Rhinolophus ferrumequinum: one gene and its partner. The protein of the gene in region 2 binds, or shares a complex with, the protein of the main gene of each other region. Links are inferred from orthologs where the notes say so. Each region holds a gene or a part of one and is shown on either strand. Other genes may lie near its edges.

Region 1 (6,739 bases), on a different chromosome or scaffold from region 2:
CTTGGAGCAGAGACTGAAGCCCCCATCCTCCCCCAGCCACCACCAGAGCCACGGTCGGGGCCTGTGGCCCCTGCTGGCTGGGTCACCCCCTGCTGCAGCGCCCACTCCGCACAGCCTCGGCTCCACTCCTGCTCCTCTTCTTACCCTCCCCTTTCTCCACTTGACCCCATTCACTGAACTGGCTCTGCCCTTCCCCAAGGGCAGAGCCTGACTCCCCAGCTGGCAGCGGCTTCCTAGGGCCTTGCTCCGCCTCCTTCCCGCTGCCTCCGACCTTCTCCAGACCTTCTCCAGACTCCAAGAGGACTGAGCCTTCTCTTCGCCTCCACCGGCATGCAGCACAACATGCGCTTCCCTAGTCGCTGGCTCGGGACTGTCCTCAGCCCTGCGCGCCACCTTGTACAGGCCCAGCCCTTCCCGTGTCCGAGCCCGTGCCTTCCCCTGCGGCCCTTTTGCAGCCGCACGCTGACCCTCCGCCCCAGGGGCCTGGCGCGCACCGCACCGTTCCCCTGACCCGGTGTGTGCAGTGGTGATGCCTAAAAGAATGTCACGAAATGTTCGGTCTGTGTCGCTTGTTGACGCCTGCAGGGACTGTGAAGGAGGGCAGGGGAGAGGGGAAAGACTGGAGGGCAGCCACGGCCCATTCAGACTTGAGCGGCGGCAGCGGGGCTCCCAGGGTCTGCAGGCGAGGCCCAGCCGACGTCGGAGTTCAGAGGTCGCCTCCGTGGGCGGCTGGCGGCGGCGCGGCGCCTGCGGCGCGCGCGGCAGGCGGTGAACACCGAGCCCAGCGCTAGGCAGGTGGCCAGGCTGGTGAGGAAGGAGACCGGCCCGAGCGCGTAGATCACCGCCAGGTCCCACGGTGCGAGTGGCTGCACGCAGTGGCTGAAGGCGGCGTCGGAGAAGGCAGTCAAGGGGCTGAGCGTCAGGCGCCCCGGCGACACGCAGACCAATGTCTCGGCTTCTGCGGAACATGGGCACGGCGTCAAGCAGCGGCGGGGCAGCTGCAGTGACCTCCCCGGCCCGCCTGCGCCCCGAGGGCTCACCTGGCGCTGGCTGCGGGTGCCGGCGCAGCCAGGCGCAGAGCGGGCGCAGCGCGCAGCCGCAGGCCCAGGGGTTGCCGCGCAGGCGCAGCGCGTTGAGAGACGGCAGGCCGGCCAGCAGATTGGGCGCGAGCTCAGACAGCTCGTTGTCCTGCAAGCTGAGCGCGTGCAGCAGCGGGAGTGCACCCAACGCCGCGGGTTCCAGGAGCGCCAACCGGTTGTTGGCTAGCGAGAGGGCGCGCAGCGCGCGCAGCGACGCGAAGGTACCAGGCGCCAGCGCCTCCAGCTGGTTGGCGCTGAGGTCGAGCTGCTGCAGCACGCCCAGGCCCCAAAAGGCCCGCGCGTGCACCCAGCGCAGCCCATTCTCGCGCAGGTCCAGGTGCCGCAGCGCGTCAGAGCCCACGAAGGCTCGGGACGGCAGCGCGCGCACGTGGTTGTGGTCCAGCAGCAGCGCGCGCACGCGCCGACTCAGGCCCACGGGCACCGCGGACAGCGCTCTTCCCGAGCAGTTGGCCTGGCCGCCCGGCGCGCACGCGCACGCCTCGGGGCAGTCCGGGGAGCCCGGGGTTGCCGTGGGGGTGGCTGCGACGGGCACTTGAGCCCAGACTGACCACAGCGACAGCAGCAGCAGTAACAGCGGCGGCGGGCGCCGCGACAGAGAGGAGGGACTCGGCATGGGAGCAGCCTTGGGACCCGCGGTGGGAGGCCTGCTTCTCGTGTGTCCCTGAGGGCCGTCCGTACCTGCGGCGCTGGTACAAATAACTCTCCGGCCCGAGCGCTGGCAGTTCCTGTCCCGCGGCTGGTCCCGCCTAGGGCGGGGCTGGGCACTTAGCCAGCTCGCAGCACCTGTCCGGAGCTTGGAGCTCGGGGCTTCTCTTGGCTCCACGTCAGAAGCGGTGCTACAAGTCGCCCTCGCCCCCTGCGTAATCCACCATCCGCTGAAGCCTGAACAGCTGGATCTCACACCCACTCCCATACACACACCACCCACCATGGGTGCAGCGCAGAACAGGACGCAGTGGGCCCTGCCCCTCACCCCAGTTTCCAGCTCAGATAATTGAGCCTAGTGCACATACAGTGCCCCCCACATGGGATGGACCCATCCTCTTGGTGCAGGATTGGTGGGGGCATGAGCACGATGGGGGCCTGAGCCCAGGGGATAGGCTGGCAGGCTGTGCCGGGAGGCAGTCACCCGGCTAAGAACTTGCCTGGAATCTCAAGGGGACAGTGTAGGTGGGGCAGGGGCACCAGCCCAAGTCCTCGTGTCAAGCGCTGCTCCCTCTGGAGTGGCACAGTTGCAGGTTGTGTACTGGGGTTTTCTGAGAGTGGGGGCGGGGTGGACGGGCTCAGAATCTCTGCCAGCTTCATGGGACAGAGCAGCAGGAAGATGTGATGTGGGGAGGAGCTGTACTGAGGCCACTGCAGGAGGAAGTGGAAACACCAGGGTGTGGCTCCCACTCTGGAGGGGAGACAGCGGTGCTTGGTGTGGACACTGCACCCCCATTGACGAGAAAGGAGTTGACAGAGCGGCCCACAGACCCCTCTTCACCCCGTGACGCAGCTGCACAGCGCAGAACCACTAAATACTGTTTAATGCCCCTTCCCCCAGCTGCCCGCAGCCCTACTCAGGTGGGGGAGGACAGGATAGCTCCTCTAGAGTGGCAGATGGGACCACTGAGTCCATAGGGATGGCCATTAGGCCCTGCTCCTCCAGGGGCGGCATCCTGGAGACCTCCAGGTCTGGGTCCATGAGGTGGGACTCCACGTGCACCGTCTGCAGGTCCATGCGGTCTTCCTGGACTCCAAAGCGCCCCACCAATCTGCACGACAGGGGCCAGGTCAGGCTGGCTGTGGGCGGCCGTCCACATGGGCTCACGAGGTCTTGGCCACCTGGGGTGGCTGGGCCCTCTGATCAGTGCTCCTGGGGGCAGGGAGCAGGGGCACAGCTCACCCTTGTGGTCCTCCCTTGGGGTCACTCACCTTCTGTCCATGTGTCCGGGGCATGTTTCACTGGGGAGACAAAGGCAGGTGTGAATCCTAGAACAACAGGGCTGGGCTCCAGGAGCCCAGAGTTGCCCCTCACACCTCTCCCCAGCCCACAGTCTGGGAATGCCATGCCTGGGCCCCTGTGCCCCACTGGGTGTGGGGGCAGACGCCCTTTTCCTGGGAAGACTGAGGGCCCAGGGTGGGCAGACCATGCTGCCCTTCAGCCCTCACCCACTCATCCCGGCCCTGGGGCTCACACACCCCTTGGCTCGAATGACACCGACCGCCACGATGACGAGGGCAAAGAAGCAGCTGGCGCTGATCCCAGCCAGCACCACGAGCAAGGCAATGAGGGCCTCACGGCTGAGGCCAAGGCCGCATTCGCAGTAGGTTCCAGCTGCAGAAACAGCACCCGTGTGGCCAAGGGGCTGTGGTCACCTGCTGGTGGAGGACCCCCAGGGCCACCCCCAACCCCGTTTGGCCACCAGGAGACAGTGTGCCCAGCCTGCCTGGACAGGGAGGGACCCTGGCTGGGGGTGGGGTTCAGGGGCTGGAGGAAGCACCTGCAGCAGGGAAGAGCAAAAGGGACAAACATATCAGGCCAAGGGGGCTGCCGACCAGGCCGGGGACAGGCCGGGGACAGGGGGCCATGTCCAGCCCCAGCCTCACCACACACCTCTGGTGGAACTCCTCGGAAGGCGCTGACCTCACAGTGAGGCTGTGAGGCAGGCAGGGTGGGGGCAGGGCCTCTGCTGGAGCTTCACTCGCCCTGGGGTGCACTGGGATTCCAGGAACCCTGGGCAGGCAGTCCCGGGGTGGGGCAGATAGGGTGGATGGGGCCTAGGAGCCACTCCTGTCTCCTGGCCAGGTCTGAGGCAGAGGCAATGGGGTGGGGGCTGCCCTGGTCTTGTGGGGATGGTGCTTCATAGGGAAGGGGGCGAGCGAGGTCGTGAACACAGTGGCCCAGAAACCCAGGGAGGTCTACAGCAGGCAGCCCCTGGCCTCAGTGTCTCTCAGGACAAGGGTGAAGCCTGGGCTCCAGCTGGCTGATGTCACCACCCTTCCCCCAAGGCTGGGACAAGCAGGGGCTGAGACTGGCCAGTGGGGGAGCTGCACCTGCTGCCCCCACACTGGCTGTGTTGAGGAGGGTCCCACCCATACCCCAGCAATGCCCGGGGCTGGACGGCCTCCCAGGGGATCCACCATCCCCCAGGAGGTGTGTGTGCGTTGCTGCTCACAGGTCTTCCCAGAACACTCTGCTCTCGGGGCAGGTGGCTCAGAAATGGCTGCAGGCAGCGTTCGAGGCTCCAGCTTCAATGTCAGAGCCCAGTGCCTCCTCAGCACCTGCCTGCCACCCCTGAGAGAGTCTGTCCCATGAGGCGTCCTGCAGACCAGGCAAGCACTCGCCTGCAGGCCGGTGTGGTCAGCCTCCTCCCTGCTCTTCCGCACCACCCCCTCCAACGACCCGGGCAGCAAGAGGAAGTGCCCCCCCCACGGCTGACCCCACAGGGCTGGGGACGCCTTCTGGTGGGGTCTTCGGGGACCTGCCAACCAGCAGCTCCTGACACTCCACTGTGCCTGCTGAATGATGCTGTGACCCAAGACACGCTGGGTTATACCACACTCGTCCCCAGACCAAGTTCAAAGGGAGAAAGACCAGGTGTGCCTGTGCCCGGGGCTGGCACTGACACCTTGCCAGACCAGTCCAACCGGTTTGCATCCTGGTTAGGAAGACAAAGGAACATCCAGCCTGGTGCCAAGTGGGGGCTGGCCTGGAGGCAACGGTGGGTGTTGGTGTCAGAACTGCCCGGGCCTCCCCCAGAACTCAGGGGACAGTGGGAAGCCCCCCACTTGGGTCCACAGCACAGGAGAGGACGGCGGGTCAGAACCCTCCAACTGCTGAGGCCATGACCTCATTCCCACCGTGTCCTCCTCAGGCCGTGGCAATCAGCATGCTCTGGAGCATGAAGGGGACATCCTGGGGGACAGTGCCACTCAGGGCCCTGTGGAGCCGGACTGTGGGGACTGCGGGCTGTCCAGGCAGCAGGTGCTCCCTCCACAGGGCCTGTCGACTGCCAGGACAGTGCCACCAGGCCAGAGCAGTTGCTGCCTGAGGCTGTGGTGCCTGGTGCAGCTTTGAAGGCCTGGGGCCTGGGCAGGGCCAACGCCCCCACCTTCTGGGACCTCAGGATGAGGGTGGGGCCTGGAAAGGTGCTGCGCTGACCAGCTGGGCTCACAGGCCCTTCGTCCTGACCACACCTCTGGGGAGTGGGGGTAAGTGGCCTTCCCGAAAGCACATGTCACTGTGAGCCCCGAGCACTGCGGCTGCCTGACTCTAGTTTGGGACAGCAAATGCCTGCTCCCTCCCACCACAGGGCGTGTCCCAGGCAGCCCATCCCGCTTAGGGGTGCAAGAAGTTCCTGGCTTAGCAGGAAACAGCCTGCCTGCGCCGCCTCCAATGTTCCAATGGGACCCACATGTCCCAGCGGCAGCCCTGGGGCTCCTGGCCCAGCCCTTGAGGGCTGGACCCTCGGGCCATGCAGAGGGAGGGTGACCCAAGGGGTCCTTTCAAAGGCCAGATGAGTGCGGCTGGAGCTGGCACGCTGTAGGCGGCTAGAGTGCAGCTAAGCCCTGGTGCTCACTCCTGCCTGCATGGTGGGCCTTGGGGGCACCCACATGCAGAACTGTGTTTTGGGGCCCAAACACAGGCGGGCAGGCCAGGGAGCTGAGGTGGAGAGGCTGGTCTGGGGGGAGAACCTGTATATGTGTCCATGAGGGGCCCACAAAGCCACCAAGACAAGGAAAGGATGAAGAACCAACCATTTTACTGTGCACTCTGGGAGCTAGGCAGTGAGTGGGGGACCGGGCAGGGTGTGCGCAGCACCTGGCTATCCGTCCTGCAGGGCAGGGCCGGCAGCCTGTCAGCCGCAGCTCTTGGGCAGGCGGTAGACGCCTCCGGCGTAGACGAGCTGCTGTTCGCGCACCTTCTTCTGCAGGAAGCCTTGCAGCTCCTGCAGGTCGATCTCAGCGAGCGCGGGGCCCGTCACCACAAACATGCGCAGCATGCTGTAGATGCGCTCCAGCGACAGGCTCTCCAGGTTGGTCAGCATGGCCTGGATGTACGTCCAGAAGAGCTGCGGGGACAGCGGCCGTCAGCCCCGCCCGTGGCCCTGCTCGCGGCCCCGCCCCCAGTCCCATGGGCGCACCAGCAGCTCCTCCTCCTTCTGGTCGGCTTGGGAGGCCATGCCCGAGTCACTGTCATCGTCGCTGTCAAGGAGCACCATGCTGTCACGGTCCTGGGGCCGCTCTTCCTCCACGACAGAGAAGGTGCCAGTAGGCTCCTCCCGCAGCACGCCCTGCTGTAGCCACACCGCCATGCGCCGTCGCAGCAGGGCCACCGGCATCTTTACCACCTTGCTCAGCTCCTCCAGGGTCCAGCTGGCTGCAGGGGCGGCCAGGCACGCTGGGCTAGGCCCGGTGGGGAGGGGACGGCAAGGGGTGGCCCACGTCCTGCCCACCCCCACCCCCCGGGTAAGCAGTGCCTGGGCAGTTGGCTCACCTTGGTCCTGGAAATACAGCAAGACCACAGCCTGCACAGGGGTCACGGCCACAGACAGCGTGCGGTCAGCCAGCTCCACATCCATGGTCACCAGGCCCAGGGTGTGCTTCCAGCTGAGGGTCCGCATGGCCTGGGGAGGGCTGGAGTCAGCACAGGC
Region 2 (7,991 bases):
AAAAAACCATGACTGCAGTAAAAATACAGATCTCCGGGGTAGACAGAAACCCTTATAAAAGGCCTAAGTTATTATTACTGGGTCTAATGAGTTGGCTCCACTAGGTTTAATTGAACAGATTAAGGGGCAAGTATTAAGAGATTCTAAGCATGGTTTAAAATGAACTTTAACGGTATCAAAAGTGACCTGATTCACATCGGCCTCACAGATTCCCAGCCAACGGCAAGCATCTCTCATCCCAGGCTGATTCCTTGTAGAAACTTCCAGTTATGTCAACTCCGCAGGTCTCGGAACTACAAACTATAGTCTAATATGTAGGGATTGTTTTTGCTAACGATAATTGCCAAAAACCTATTTTCTGGAGAAAACTGACAGAAGTTATGCTTGGTCATCATTTAGGAAAGAGACTCTTTATGTGAACAGTACAATTAGCATTTCATCACAGGCAATGCAGTGGCACCGATGAAGCCCCTAGAGCGAGAAAACTTAGAGACTGTTCAAAACACCAGAATCACAAAAACACTTTCAAAGTATATTGCGACTCACTGAAAAAAAGTTACCACCTCGTTCCTTACCAGATAAGGAGTCTGTTAAAAAGTTCACCAGAATCACTCAGTGTAGAGAACATTTTAGATTTGCACAACTATGAGCTATCTTTCCCCTAAGGGCAGACACTGAATCTCAGTAAAGGAAAATAAACTCCAGGGCTGAAGACTGTGGGGGAGGTGGAGGAGAGGAAACGGGTGGATAAAAAGACTATGAATAAGTGCTTATTAGGTAGGCGAGGCAAGGGGCATGGTCTCAGGGTCTCATGGGTAGGATTCTGCGTAATCTGACAGCTTCTCTGGAATGCGTGAGGTTTTCCACCTTGACAAGTAAGGAGAAACCTCTGTGGCTGAGATGGCAACTCCAAAGAGAACTGGCTAGGCAACCGCTGGAGGTTTCCGGAGGAGGAAGAGAGTGATGGCTTTTATTTTTCTCCCTTTATTTCCAATACACCAGTATTTTCCAAAACACAAATGTGCTGCCACAAAACACAGCTGAACTCCAGCACCCAACACCATGTATAATTAATGTTTAGGAGAGGGAGCTTTGGCTCACCCTCATGTGTCACCCACAGCCCCTGGCTTCCCTACTATTTCCTGAAGCAACTAAAGAGGCTGCGACAAGTTGCTGTGCCCTGTAGGAGTTTGAGGGGTCCTTGAATTAACTTTCCTAGAAAAGCTGTGAACATTCTGAGGGAGAGCTGCCTCTGCCTTGCACTGTTCTCCTACTCCCCTTGGGCTCCCCTTGCTCTGAAAATACTGGCACTGGGAAGTCCCTAGGATAGGAATTACTCAAACAGAGGATAGCTTGGGTCACTCTTTTTTCCAGTTCTTTCTTTTTTCATTCTGCAGTTTTCTATGAAAAACTGCCCCCACCCCTCACCTTCAGCCAGCGGGGGGAAAAGAGGACATCTGTAGGGACCTGGCAGTAGACCAGGCAGTCAGCCTAGCAACCATACATAACGTGTAGTGAGCCTCAGTGCTGGTGGGCGTCTCTGCGCCGCCAGGAATAGCCTAACCCGACATCCAGCCACCTCAAAAGCGTCAGAGAGGAGGCTCCGCGTGAAACCCCGGCCTTGGCCGGCTCTCCCGCGGACCTTCCGCTCCAGCTCCACGCTGCTGGTGGCATTTCCAAGGTCCTGAGGGGGTGGCGTGGGGGCGAGAATACAGATGCACCAGAACTTGAGGTGGGGAGTATGTTCCACGAGAATCTCTCAAAGGATGGACAGGGAGGTGACAGCAGATGTGCGACCTCACCACACTCCTAAAGTGGCCGCCTCCATGGTTGCCTCCAAAACTGGGTGCATCTCCCCAACTTTCTTTTGACCCCCAGACCCTCCCCACTTCCTCTGGCCATGTTCTTCCCCCGGGATTCCCTAGTCCAAAAGGTTTGCTTCCTTGCCCAAAGGATTTTCCCTTCCTTCTGACTCCACTAACTCATCTCCCCAACAGGTTTCTAAAGTGCGGGCTGATGTGCTCGCCCTCGCCCACCGCCAGAAGCCCGGCCGCGGCAGGTGAGCCGTGCGATACACGCACCCAGCGGCCCCCAGCTTTCTGGGCGCCCGCGGGGTTGGCTCTCCCTACCCCAAACCACAGCACCCGAACGGCGCGCGTCCCCGACCCCGGCCCGGGCCGCAGCCGCAAACAGCCCTACAATAAACAAGGGGTCAGGATTGGAGATCCGCGTCCAGGGGCGCACCGGTTAGGGGCAGCTCCTCACCCCCGGCGCGCCGCCCGCTGTCCCAATCCGAAGGCGCAGGGACAGCGGAGGGAAGGGAGGGCGGCAGGGGACGGCAGGCAGGGATGGAGGGAGGCTCGGCGCCGTGAGGAGCGAGGAGGTGGGCTGCCGGGGACGCCGAGGAGCGGCGGGGCTGGCGCAAGGGGCGGGAGCCGGGGCGCGCCTTACCTTCGTCTTGCCCCCGCAGTGGCAGCAAACGGTCCACAGGTACTTGAGCGTCCGCCAGAGCAGGATGATGAAGAGGCCCCCGAAGAAAGTCACCATGGAGGAGGCCAGGAAAGCCCACCACATGCGCTGGCCACGGCTGTCGCACGGCACCTCCATGGTCACAGGGATGATGAGCGCATCCATCTTGGGCTCGTGGACCGAGGACGAGGAGGAAGAGGAGGAGGATGAAGAAGAGGAGGAAGAGGAGGACGCGTCTAGGCTGAGATGGTTCGCGTGGATATTGCTACTCATTCTAAGACTGTTGCCTCCGCCGCCACCGCCGCCGCCGCCGCTGCTGCCGCCGCCGCCGCCACCATTTGCCATAGCTAGCAACGGGCAGCCGGCGCAGGGGCTCGGGGGAGCTCCTCCCGCCGCCAGCGCCACCCCGAACACCCATCAACAGCCATATTGCTGCTACTGCTGCCGCCGCCGCGGAGCGCGGGGAGGGGGGCGGGGAGGCGCCTGGGCTCGGGGCGCTGTGCGCGACCTGGCGGGGTGCGCGGAGATATATACAGCCAGCCGCCGCCGCCCGCCCTCCCCCAGGCCGCCGGCCCGCCCGCCCGGGGGGGAGGGGGATGGAGCGCGCGGGCAGCTCCCCTCCCCGGCCCGCGCCCCTCTCGCCCCGGGCTGCGCTGGCCCCTAGCGCAGAAAGCGAGGGGACGCCGTGGGCCGCCCGCGCCCGGGGTCTGCACCGCCCCCGGGCCCGCCCCGGCTCAGCGCGCGGGCCCGGGTGCCCCGGCTGCCGCGCCGCCTGCCGTGCGCCACGCGTGTGCGCTGTGCTCCGGCCCGAGACCCCCGCCCCGCGCGCCGCCCGCGCCGCCCGCGCCGCTAACGAGCGGCTCTTAGCTTATTAGGCGGCAACTCGTTAATAATGCATAATCAGCCCCCTCCGCTCGGAAGCCCCGCGCCAGCCCTCCTCCCCCTGCTGCGCTCGCCACCCCCGTGCGCACTGGGCCGCGGCAGGTTCACCGCGTCCGGTCGCCGGGCGCCGCCGCCGCTAGTCCATGCTCCCTGAGCGCATCGCCACCCGGCTGAGCCTCCTCGGCCTCCGCTCGTTCTTCCTCGCTTCCTCAGTCTCCTCCTCGTCCCCGTCCTCGCCACCCAAGCCTCTTCGGCGCGCGCCCCGCGCTCCCCGCGGCCGCCAGCAGCGGCAGCTGCAGCTGCAGCAACTAGAACGGGCGCGGACTCTACCGCCCGAAGCGGGAGGGAAGGAGGCTCACAGCGCTGGTTCGCTTAGGCTGGACGGGGCAGGCTGACCCCTCGGCACGCACTCCTGACCCCCAGTGCGCGAGATGGAGCACCCCAAGCCCAGAGCGGGACCCGGCACCTCTCTCCAGTGTGCTCCCCCCTCCGCACCACCACACCCCCGCAGAGCGCCCTGGGGGACCCGAAGAGGTTGGCCGGGCCCCCATGGCAAGCCATTTTTCCCAAAGGAGACCGTAGCGTGGAGGGGAGGAATGACCAGCTGTGGACTCGATTCCACAGGATCCTCGGGCTCAGGATCCTCGGGCTTCGGGAGTGAGGAGGACCCTTCTTCAAGATACACACCCTAGTTCGACCCCTACTGATCCCTAGTTCGTTCTTTCGTTCCCCCTTCATAGGTGCTCTAGTGCCAGGTGCATGGCTGGAAGGCAGGGCCATCCCAGAGGCTGGCGGGTGGTCTGTGGCCTTGACAGCAGCAGGTGGTTTTTCTGCCTTTTCCCAATGAAAGGGACAGAGGCTGCCTACGAGGGTATCCAGAGAGGGGTAGGGGGTGCCTGGCCTCAGGGGCTGTGCAGGCTCCAATAGGCAATAGAGTTTCCTAAAGTCACTTTCTTTTATCTAGCTTCAGACTTCATCATGTGAGGAGGGCAGCTGCGAGAAGAGGTGCTCCAGGCTCCACTCAAGTCCACCTTTCCCCGCTTAGGGTCTTCCTTTCTCCCTCTTAAAGATGAAGGAGTCGGGTGTGTTAAACAGCCTCTATCATTTCACCACCAGGGTAATCCCCCTTCTGATACTCTAAGAAACCGGCTCCCTCTGGAAACCGCCCTTCTTCCTTGGGCTACCAGCTGGACCACAAGCTTTTCCAGTGCTCGTTAAAAGGAAGATGGTCACATTCTCCCCTCATTGCCCACAATGGTTTCCCCAAAGTTTCCAGCTCATTAATTTAGGCTTAATTGGAATTCTCAAGTTCCTTTCAGCCCTTCCTGTGATGAGGGCGAACTTAGCATCCTTCACTGTATAGGCCAATGCTGTTTCTGCCTGAGCCAGATTTCAGCCCCTCCCCTCGCCCTTGGAGGCCCTGGGATGCAGGGCAGGACCTGGCGAGGGAAGCCCAGCTGGGCAGAGAGGCTGAAGGGGATGTGTGAAGCTTCTCCTGCTATTCGGCATACGTTCACTGGTCTCAGGAAACACATCCATTAGAAAAGAGTCAAAGCCAAGGTCAAAGGGGGAAGTGGAATGAGGTAGAATTCTCCAGTGTTTGGTACTCAAAAGCAGTATGTAAAATGGAGCTACACACAGTATTTTCCAGAAACTGAAATTGTCTGTCACCCGTTTGGTACCTCCAGCCTCGTCTTCCACGTTCAGCAGCCACTCGGAACACATCCCTGTTCAATCCATCCTACACATGCAAAGGCCCGGGGTCTTTCCAGCACTGGGTTGGGGAGAGGTCGCCTGGGGGTCACCTGTAGAAGTGCTGTGGGGATGCACAAGAAAGTGACGATGGCCTTGAGGTTCCCTGATTTTATTAGCCTTCTAAAGGACTGTACTTTGCTGCCTTTGGGCCTCCGTATATGTCAGGAAATTTAAAGACTTTCCTTAAATCAAGTCCAAGATTTGAAATTTAAAAACGAAACATCCATAATATAAGAGCAGCAAAGAACGGTTTCCCCAGGGGCATATAAAACCCCCAGAATGGATTCCCTCCCTCACAAAATTGAGCTTTGCAAACCACCGAATCCCCTCCAGGCTTTCCTGGACTTCCCCCACAGCCTGGGTTCCCCTGAAATGCAGTCTGGGGCTCCTAGCAGCAGGCCACTGGTTGCTGTGACTTCTATTGCTCCAAATGCGAAATCCTCCAGCTGTGTTTCTCTTCCACCATCACCTTCATCATCTCATCATCCTTTCAGAACATGCCGGGAGGCTCCTAGCCATCATCTGCTCTCTTCATCACCCCTGTCTGTGCTGATTGAAGATTTTAGCAACTTCTGCGTTATCTAAAACCTAGGTTTAGTTGGTATTCATCAGAGACCTTCACTGTCAAAGTCATTCCTGCAATCCCCAGTCCCTCAACACCTTCCCAAGAGCTTTCACTGGTAGGCGCTGAATGAGACAGTGCCATCATCCACCAGAAATAAACCTCCTCAGACCTTTGCCCAGCTCTCTCCTGCTCCTTCCTTCTCATCCACAAACGTCTGTGCCAGGTTCAGTAAACTTGGCACTGGTTTCTTTCACCAACTGAGGAAGAGTTTCTACCCAGACAAGATGGAACATCAAACTTAAAAGGAACCCTCGGTACCTTTCATTCATTGTGTTTCCTCATTTGTAAAGCGGAATAAAACCAGGAACTGCCCTGCCCACCTCAGAGGGTCATTTGTAAGGATGAAAAAGAAAATATGTAGATCTTGTTACTGTGACCCCAAAACAGCCAAACTCGGACCAGATCCTCTCCCCCACAAGGGCAGGATCCACCACACCCCGAGGGCAGGATTATTGCTACCTGTCCCCACTTTGCTGTCCTGCACCCCCAAGAGGCCAGTGACTGCTTCACTCTGCCAGTGACACTACGGCCCCTAGGGCCTCACAGACAGCCAGGTGTGGACAGGGCATCGCAGAGCCACTCCAGCCTGAGTGGGCCCTCTGAACCCTGACACGTATGCCCACGCATTGCCTTCCCACTGCCCCAGGCGGCTTCGGAAATGCAAAGAATGTGGAAAAACACCTATGAATAACCCCGGTACATTTCACCTCTTGCAGGTGTGTCTGCAAACTGGGACTGAAAGGCACAGGACTGAAAGCCTAAACTACAAGAGACATTTCAACCTCCTCTGTTCTGAAAACAATACGGGCCACTTACTTATTTCTAAATACATTTATAAGCGTCTCAGAGAGGAGGTCGGCCTCTTTATCATGTGAACATGTGCCTGTGGCAGCTTTCAAAGCAAACCAAGGTTTCAAGTTTCCAAAGAATTCTAATCTGAACTATCCCAATTGATCTAAAGGACATAAATAAAAGTGCACCAACATGAACTGAAAAAGCGGGGTGACTAGAGTAATAACCCAGGAGGACAAAGCAGCTTATTTAATTAAATGTCAGCCCAACATCATAATTAATGTAGTCCGGATTTCGTTTATCTGGGGCCTGGAACCAGTTCCAAAATTTCTATTGTATAGGCTTTCAGTCCTTGTGCAATGGCCCTTAATTCCCAGCCTGCAGACACACCTTACATGAGATGAAATGTAATGGCTGCAGCAGAGCGCAGGAGTTACTGGCTTCAGTTCTCATTCTGACTTAAATCTTTGTGATTTTCTGGGGTAAAGTCGGGCGGACTCTGTAAGTGGTCTAGCGCCCTCTGGTGAGTCTTCCCGGTACAAGACATCATTTTGTGAATGTGAAAAGGGGTATTACTGAAACAAAAATTGGATTTGAAAATTCCAAAGAGAAAAGCCCTGCTATAAAAACATGCAACCAAAATAATATTAATTGAGAGAACGTGGTGAGAAGCGGAGCACGGCTTTCTATTCTGGGCCCCTCCAGGCCCTCCGGCCTCGGGCTGGGAGGTGAGCTGGGGGGGCCCAGGGACAGGCCGCAGGCTCTGTCCTGCAGAGACCCAGACCCCTTCCGAGCCGCGGTTGCCCACTGGCTGGGCCCAGGCCTTGAAGCAGCAGCGAACCTCTCGCCCTACCCCCACCTCCATCTCCGCGACCTGATGGCGGCGCTTCTCTGATCGCACATCCCACCGATCGCCTGGTCTCCTGGCCCAACCCTGCGGGGCCTAGGCGAAGCCCCGCCAAGCGTTTGAGCGAAGGGCGTGGAGGGGCGAAAAGAATGGCGGCCACTCGAATGCCGCGGAGGGCCGTTAGGACCGTCGGGGGTCCCAGAAGGCGGGTCTACGTGGTCGCAAGCTGGCCCACCCTTAGGCCTTCGAGCCGCGCAGATGCAGGACTTGGGGTAACTCCTCTAACCCAGTTGGATGAGATCTCACCTCGCACAGACAACGACGGACAAAGGCCATAATGGGCCCGGAAGGTGAGCAGAAAGGACCCAGTCGACGACGGGTGGAAGGGTTAGTGGGCCATCGGGCGGTTGGTCTTCGTTCTACCAGACCTTGATTACGGAAGAAAGAAAAGGCACAACAATATACCACAGTTGGCCAACAGGAAGTGCCCACCACCCTTTGGGAAGATTTACTGGCCGTATATAGAAGGCCTGTGTATATAATATGAAAAAGCTGCTCCCAACTTTACCCCCCAACCTTTCAAAAGAAAACTGCTACATCTAGGCCTTTAGATGTAAAGAG

Evidence for each region. The genes of interacting proteins can lie anywhere in the genome.
Region 1: the proteins of KCNMA1 (region 2) and LRRC26 are in contact, whole or in part, in a cryo-EM structure (PDB 7YNZ), measured with the Homo sapiens proteins. The link is inferred for Rhinolophus ferrumequinum from reciprocal best matches to the Homo sapiens genes KCNMA1 and LRRC26. Residues at the interface, in NP_001154824.1 of Homo sapiens: Pro78, Cys79, Asp80, Ser81, Arg82, Gln84, Trp88, Ala92, Ser93, Val96, Thr97, Glu155, Trp158, Met159, Ser161, Val162, Trp165, Cys206, Leu226, Leu227, Phe229, Gly230, Leu231, Phe233, Ile234, Asp251, Phe252, Pro256, Phe259, Val260; in NP_001013675.1 of Homo sapiens: Gly204, Cys205, Gly206, Cys207, Ala208, Arg236, Leu237, Ala249, Phe250, His252, Cys253, Ala254, Gln255, Leu257, Arg260, Asp261, Leu262, Val264, Val265, Tyr266, Leu268, Gly269, Pro270, Ser272, Phe273, Ser276, Leu277, Cys280, Leu281, Leu283.

The regions. Positions count from the first base shown.
Region 1 is NC_046295.1:83,281,630-83,288,368, forward strand, and holds LRRC26 (leucine-rich repeat-containing protein 26), read right to left. Parts: upstream 2,145-6,739; 5' UTR 2,032-2,144; coding exon 1,041-2,031; intron 959-1,040; coding exon 642-958; 3' UTR 504-641; downstream 1-503. Other genes in the region: TMEM210 (transmembrane protein 210), read right to left, coding at 2,659-2,857, 3,018-3,047, 3,285-3,420, 3,587-3,674; ANAPC2 (anaphase-promoting complex subunit 2), read right to left, coding at 5,945-6,157, 6,230-6,465, 6,583-6,712. UniProt on the Homo sapiens protein: Auxiliary protein of the large-conductance, voltage and calcium-activated potassium channel (BK alpha). Required for the conversion of BK alpha channels from a high-voltage to a low-voltage activated channel type in non-excitable cells.
Region 2 is NC_046299.1:54,351,349-54,359,339, forward strand, and holds the start of KCNMA1 (calcium-activated potassium channel subunit alpha-1), read right to left. Parts: upstream 3,011-7,991; 5' UTR 2,815-3,010; coding exon 2,452-2,814; intron 1-2,451. UniProt on the Homo sapiens protein: Potassium channel activated by both membrane depolarization or increase in cytosolic Ca(2+) that mediates export of K(+). It is also activated by the concentration of cytosolic Mg(2+).